Lepisosteus oculatus: one gene and its partner. The protein of the gene in region 1 interacts with the protein of each later gene in a pairwise test. Links are inferred from orthologs where the notes say so. Each region holds a gene or a part of one and is shown in the gene's direction. Other genes may lie near its edges.

Evidence for each region. The genes of interacting proteins can lie anywhere in the genome.
Region 2: the proteins of creb3l1 (region 1) and fam3c interact in binary tests that used the Homo sapiens proteins (3 or more experiments, as listed by UniProt). The two-hybrid records come from large-scale screens. The link is inferred for Lepisosteus oculatus from reciprocal best matches to the Homo sapiens genes CREB3L1 and FAM3C.

What each region holds. Positions count from the first base shown.
Region 1 is NC_090716.1:4,509,255-4,513,007, forward strand, and holds the start of creb3l1 (cyclic AMP-responsive element-binding protein 3-like protein 1), read left to right. Parts: upstream 1-1,195; 5' UTR 1,196-1,485; coding exon 1,486-1,587; intron 1,588-3,753.
Region 2 is NC_090702.1:40,014,322-40,018,074, forward strand, and holds the start of fam3c (protein FAM3C), read left to right. Parts: upstream 1-1,223; 5' UTR 1,224-1,324; intron 1,325-3,753. UniProt on the Homo sapiens protein: May be involved in retinal laminar formation. Promotes epithelial to mesenchymal transition.

The sequences.
Region 1 (3,753 bases):
CTCCAATTGGCTCTGGCCCCCCACCACCCTGAATTCACAGAAGCGGCCAGTGGATGAATGCCAGAGAGTCACCCCAAACCAACCATTTCTTGAAGGTTAGGAACACTTGTAGTTTATTGGTCAATTAAGTGAATAATGAAGGGAATTCAATTAAGGGAAAACCAGCCCTTGAGGCCTGGATGGTCTTCAGACCCTTTGTTTTAAATCAAAAGTATTTCAAATCAAAGCAGAGTGTCTCCTGAATGTATGTTCCATTTGAGATCTCAGTTACAAAGCTGGTGGAATTATTTCCTTCACAGTATAACTGTTAATACCTCTGGCAAGGATTGGAAATGTTTTATGTCCAGCTTTACTTTTACTGAAGTGTGTTTCATTGTCTCATTAATCAGCTGTAAAAGACCATATTAAAAACCCTTTGTGTCTAATTAAAAAATAATTAGGATAACTGTTTATTTAATTGACTGCTCAATTAAATTGATCCCCCCCAAACCAGAAGACACTAGGCACTAGAAGAATTCGGTCGGCCGTCCCTGCTACAGTCAAATGCTATCATGGGGATAAGGTGTCGTTCACGGTATCTGCAGCGCAGCAGAAAATGCAGTTCTCCATGTGGACACACACACACATATATACTGTATAAACGTTTTATAAACGAACATGCAAACGTAAAGGAGTCGATTCGAAACCTTTTCAGGTACAATATGTGGCTGCATTTATTTTCTCTCGAAGAAGACGCTTCGCATCCCTAGCTTCTTGTCGACGGATGGGATCTGTTGGCTCCAAAGGAGATCCTGAATCGAGCGAAACACACACGGTTTTGATCCGTGCGCTGGAGAGCCCTCCTCTTCCCCGAGCCCAGCTGATACACAGCGCACCCTGGCCGGTCTCGACACGGTCCTGCACCCCCGTTCAGAACGGAGCAGCGCTGTCGGTCGGTATTTGGTGCCGCACAACAAAAGTGGTTAAAGCTTGTTAAAGGTTAAAAGGTTCCATCCCGTAAAAAAAAATGCAATTTTAGGAGCCGGGGCTGGGCTATTTTATAAAGAGCTCATTTGAAAAGGGCTAATGTACCACTGTGGCTTTAAGAGACAACGGGTGGGATTTTGGAAAGACGAAAGAAAAAAGGCAGGAGAAACTAGGCGGAGTTTAAATGAATATTAATCATCTGATGGACTCCTTAGAGACAGTCCCCAGCTGGATGAAACACATTTGACAGAACCCATATAGAACTCGTTCTCTAGCATACAGGGTTTTAACCCAGCATTTTTTTAGAAGAAAAAGAGCGAATTCAATTGAGAACTGCAAACAGTTCATTTGCAAACGGCATTATTTCACTTCAGTTCTACAACTCAGCTCGAGTTAGGGAGACAACGCAACTTCTTACATCTCCGTATCTTTAGCCAACAACTTAGATTTTGAAAAGTTTGCATCCATTTATTCTGATCTCTTTCTCCCTCAACTAATATCGAAACCTCCGTTGTTAAAATGGACACCATCCTAGACAACTTCACCTCCGAGAAACTTTTCCCTAACTCCAATCTCTTGGATTTAGAAGATCTGAATGAAGCCGACTTCCTCAGTAACGTGGTACGTAAACGATTGACTTACATTACTCATTTTCGTTATTTTAGATCCTTGACAAGGCACACTTATGTTTTCTAATAGCCTCTGAACCACTGTTAATGCAAAATATTCAAACCTAGTTTCAGAAGATGCATACACTACCGCATCACTGTTATAACGCGTCTCCTTTCTAACCCTGTGGCCACTGTTAATAAATGTGTCTTCCTAACCCTGTGGGAGCATATACCAAACGCTTCTGCAACGCTCTAAAATATCCCACATCAGAAAATGGCAAATGTATTTTTCCCAAAAACAAAACCCTTAAATGTTGTGTGGAACTTTTTGTAATGATTGTTCAGGGTTGCATCGTAACTCGACGCACCGGAACCCACGGGCAACCCAATTCGCGCAAGCGAGATCTTTTAGCGTTTACTTGTCAGCGTGGACAGCAAACTGTTTCATTTGTTAACACTCGGCGGCGGCCACTTGAGGACTGGTTTTCCGCGAAGAAAGTAAACACGGTTTCCGCCGCGAAGCAGCTGTTTTCGGGCCAGCGGAGCTGCCCCAGCTGTGCTCTAAACGCCGAGTCTGTTCTCGGAGCTCTGCCCCCGCGAGGAGGCGTGGCCCGGGCTCTTTCTCACGCCCACCCCGGCTCTTCTCCTCCCTAGACATCCCTATCCTGGTTAGCTCGCACATCCTGGTGGTGGTTGTTTATCGACCTCTTCGACTGAAGCTGCAGGGCGAATTCGAAAAACGCGTTTTGCCGTAGGTTGCGCAGTGCTATCTGGCTGAGTGTTGCGTTTGTGAGCGTCTTGAACGTGCAGGAGATCGGAAAGTGAACAGATGGGCTTGCGAGGCTGCCACGGTTTAAATTCGTTGTCGGATGCAAGACAAAACTGAATCTTTTTTTTGTGTGTGTGTGTTGCTTGATTAGACACCAGCGTGGAATCCCTCTCTAGCACCTTAAGTAAAGACCGCAAGCACCGCTGTGCTGCGATGGAGATGACGTTTGTCCAGTGTTTTTCATGTGGCGTGTTCACATGCGTTAACATACTTCACCAGACGTTTGCGGAAAAATGAAAATGTGTAGCTCTGACAGCACGCAGAGGTAACTCGTTGTCTGCGTGTTTAAAGTGGTCGACCAGGCGTATGTACCCTTCATTTCTGATCTTTTTTTTTTTTAATATCGGCTTTGTAGGAACTGTGGCGAATCAAAACCGCCGGACTTGGCCCGGACAAGATGTTTCATTTTAATCTTAATGAATAAATTGGCGCCCATCCAGTAACAATGTTTCTTATCTTATGCAGTATGACTCATGGGTTCTGTAAAAAAAACTGAAGGGGAAAAGCTGTATAAACTGTATCTGTAACGTCATCTTCATGGAAGAATGAGTTGGCTTTTCTTGGACATCTAGATTGATTAGGAAGGGTACAGTATACAGTATGTGGAATAGTGTTGATTATCACAGTTCTCTGCATGATGCACACTCATCTTCAGGTTGTGCAGTACAGCCAGACATCCCTGCATATTCTCGTAGTGTGAATGAGGTGGGGATTAAGTCACATCTCCCTAACTCTTGAAACTTGAAATCGGCACTGAAGGCCTGTCAGGGCTCCCACATACAGTAGTTACAATAGACTGTGGATGCAGACATCTTTTCACACTTCAACAATAAAGGGCTCTTGTTAGCTGGGCTTCAATGGCCTTTTTATCCTGTGTGCACTGACAGACTACTGAGGGAGGACCTGTATGTTTAGGTTAATTGGGCAGGGTCTGTTTCTGACTGCTGCCTCAGTGCTGTGTGGGGGCTGAATGAGGCCTGTGTGTCCAATAGGTCTTTGCTCCTGCAGTCACTGCCTCTCCACTCAAGCCCCTATTAAGGAAAGCCAAGTGGTGAGGACTGACCCAGTGAAAGGACTCTTTTGTGCATTAATAGGAAAAGCATCAAGTTGCAAAGGTGAAATCCAGCTGCCACTGTCAACGCAAAAACAAAGAGTAAATACAATGCTTTTCAGGCCTTTTTTTGTGGGGAGATTAAATCATCCTGTGTTTCCTGTGTTTAGATACTCATTTCATTTTATTTCCATTTTCTTCCATGTTTTTCAATGACCTCTTTTTTCAGTTCCGTTTAGTATTGACATGTAACATTGTGGCCGGCTAGGATAAAATAATCCCTAATGGAAAGGAAA
Region 2 (3,753 bases), on another chromosome or scaffold:
AGGTACTAACCAGACTCACACCTGCTGAGCTTCAGTGAGCTGACAGTTTCGATTTGCAGGGTGACAGGACTGCTGGCAGCCATATAACTAATGTGTTCTCAACAGCTCCCGCACGACGAACCGATTAAACTCTATGAGGATGAACCTGGACTTTACAGGACAGTGTATTCACCCCATGCAGTACTATTCCCGTTGGCCCTGGGCGTAATCGCCACTCTCGTAATCACACAAATCGTGCTTACCTGACTTCAGCTTACAAGCGGAACCTCCCGCGGTCCCGCTGTTCGCTTTATTTAATTTAGTGTGTGATGATGAGATCGCCCGCATTCTTGTAAATAGTTCCCTGGTTTCGCCCCCTTGTTATACTTGTATCCAATTACCACACTATCCCTGCGTAGCTACCCGAATAGACCCCAATGTACTGCTCCCTCTCGACTCTTTCTGGCGCTTGCTCGGTCTCTCTCACTTTCAGTCTGTGTTTTGCTCTGCTGGTGCGGAGTGCTGTGCTGCCTGTACCGAAGTTCAAGAAAAGCGCTGTTTTCTCTACTCGACGAGTGTCTGAGTCACTGAGTCTGTCCTCGCCGAACCCGAAACTATTACAGTATTTTAGATACAGATCACTTCCTTTAAAATGCATACATCTTAGTGAGAACAGATGTTTAAAATCTGTATCGTGGTCACTGTTTTTATCCTTTAAAACTTTTTAGTGAGATGACTTTTGAGCATTATACAATAAATTGGGAGTACCCAACCCCATATATGCAGTTTACTCTGTACCTCAGCTCTTAGGTGGCCAACTGAAATAATCATTGGCCTAACTGGAGGGGGGTAACAGATTTTCCAAACTCCACAGGTTCCGCTGATTTAAAGACACCTTTACAAAGTGCTTCACCCTCCAGGACTGGAGCTGAGCACCCGTGCTTTACACGCTTAAAAGTTTTTTTAGCAGCAGAATTACTTAACATTTAAATCTGTTCTTAATGTTACTTAACGTAAAGGTCATAACAGAAGCGTTTAATTTCATGTAAAGTTTGTAAACACGAATGATTAAAATAAACAAGAAGTACTTTTTTGGGATCTCTTTCCTTTAAATGTATCTAATTGTTGTTTTATATCCAACACTTGAAGTACTATAATCTTCCTTTCGAAGCCGTCGACTCCTCCTCGGTAGGGGGCAGCAATAGGTGTTATACAGAGGCTTGAAGCTGCTCTTTTCTTGGCAGAAAACTATAGTACTTCCAGGAACGGACGCATTAAGGAGGAAGTAGAGCTGTCGAAACGGGAGGAGAGTCTGTATTTTACCTGTCTCCGTGGCGTACGCCAGGTAGGGTTATTTGGATGTGTGGTCAGTGGCTATCCTTATAATTGTCCATGTGCTAGATGTACAGAAAACTAAAAATTGCATGGCTTTGTTTCGGGAAGTACATCTCATGTTTGTGAATTGGCGTCGCTGTGTATAAAAAAAAATGGAAAATACGTTATGGATGGATGTAGATTTCACTTACCTGTACGTCACAGGAGCGGCAGGTGAAGAAAAAATCGAATGTAATTTTCAGTCAGCTAACTTTGCCGCATTCCGCCGCGACTAATTAAATAAGTTGAGCATGCTTTTGACGTCTTTTAAATAGCCTAGATCCCATTCGGATTTTGCAGTGCTCTGGTGACAATCATACACAAGTATCATGGGTAGGGTTATCATAGCAGACTGACACGACTGAGAAATATATCATGTAGTTTCTAAGTTGCTGTTGATGTCGTTCCCAAATGGGAATGCGACATTTATATAAAAATGTGGAAACCATTCATCCTTTTCTTTTGTGGGAGCTGAGTCGGATAGAGTTGCTAGTGGTGGTGTCATTTTGTTGTTGTTTATTTAATTTTACTGGGTCTTGTTTTACTAGTCTTTTACTGGTTTACTCAGACTTCTAGTTTATAACACCCATGGGTGGTTTAGATTTAAGCCTTTTAAAGATAAAAAGAAGTACGTTAAAGCGTAAACGCATTGAAAGTGTGGGGGGAAAATAGTACGAGGACCGCTTAAAAAAACCTGACTGTAAAAGGGAAAGCTGGACTTTATTTTATTTCTCTCTTATCATGTAAAAAGCTGGAGTTAAATCGAGCTCGCTCTTATCATGTATTCAATAGGTAAGCGCTGAAATTGTCAGTTTATTGCTTAGTACAGTAGTTGTCTTTCTAGGTAAAAACATCATCGACACATAAAAGAAATTGCATTTTACTATCCGTTTGATTCAGTGCGTTTGCATTTTCAACCTACGGCTCCAGGTAACTTAATAAAATACTATTGCAGTCATCTTAATACCTTATCTTTTGTCTTGATGAATGCAGTAAAATGTGTATCTGCTCTTTCTTCTGCTTAATGGCAGATATAATTAATATTGTGGCCTTTATTCAAAAAGTATTTAGCAAAGCTAACAAAACTAATTGTTTTTGAAAAGGTTGTTTTTTGTAGGTCTACAATGGGCTGCTCTGCTCTTGTATTTTGATTACATTTTGTGGGGCATGCTTTAAATACCCTTTTCTGAACATCTGGACTCTTCCCTTGGTGTGCTTGGGGAATCCTAGTCATGAGGATTCCTAGTCAGGTGGACCGGTGGCTCTGTGGCTGGAAGGTTGCCTGTTCAAATCCTGCGGCCGACAGAGGAATCCTACTCCTTTGGGCCTCTGAGTAAGGCCCTTAACCCCAGCTGCTCCAGGGGTGCCGTTTAAATGGCTGACCCTGCGCTCTGAGCCCAAGTTTCTTTCTCCCTGTCTGTGTGTCTCATGGAGAGCAAGCTGGGGCTTGTGAAAAAAGACAAATTCCTAATGCAAGAATTTGTATATGGCTAATGAAGTGATCTTATGGATACCTAGCATTATTACTGAGGCTTGACCCCACGATTACAGAGATTAACCAGCTCTCAGGCAAGCACCTTTATCGGCTGAGGGACTGAGCAAAGCTCAGGCCCTTCCTTTAAATAGCAGGCTGTAGTTCCATACTATCATCAGAAAGGATGAATCACACTCCAGTATCTACATGTATATCGCAGCTGTCATTAAAACAAATTATGTCATGGTGTTCTGGAGCTGTGTGACAGTTTGTGTGTTTCTAGTGCTTTGTTTTATTTCTATCTGGATTTTGCAATCAAAGTAGAAACCGTTTTTGAATGATTTTTCTCTTCTTGTCGGCTGTTTATTCTGACTGAGGATGCGCATGTATTTTGACCCTAAGAAATTTCAAAAGACAATATTTATAATGGAACTTGTAACTTACACCATATAAGCTCAACTGTTGTGTAAAAGCAGACATCCCTCAGCTAAGAATGTCTATAGTGCAGCTATAAGTAGAAGTAAAAAGCAGACATAACATGTTCTATAATATAGTACTGGAATGCGAGACCTCCAAGGAAAACTGGGTTTCAGCTGTAACTGGTGTTGGTGGATCAATCTGTGGCCCTCTTCCCTCTGGAAGACATCAGTGTTGCAGTATGTGCTTTGGGTCTGATAAGGCATTACACCAAGGTCCTGACTGTCTGGTCTTTAAAGATCCTAAGGCACTATTCGTATGAGTATGGCGAGTCCTGAGTGGAATTATAGAGTCTGGCTTCCTTGGGTTAACCTTAATTTATCTGAAGTAATTTCTCACACCTGACCTGCTGTGCAGTGGTGCTGCTGGCGCATAATCTCTGCTGCATGTCACACAGGCGCTGTCGGTCCCCTCTTACATCTGAAGTACGTTTATCCTTTGGGATATAA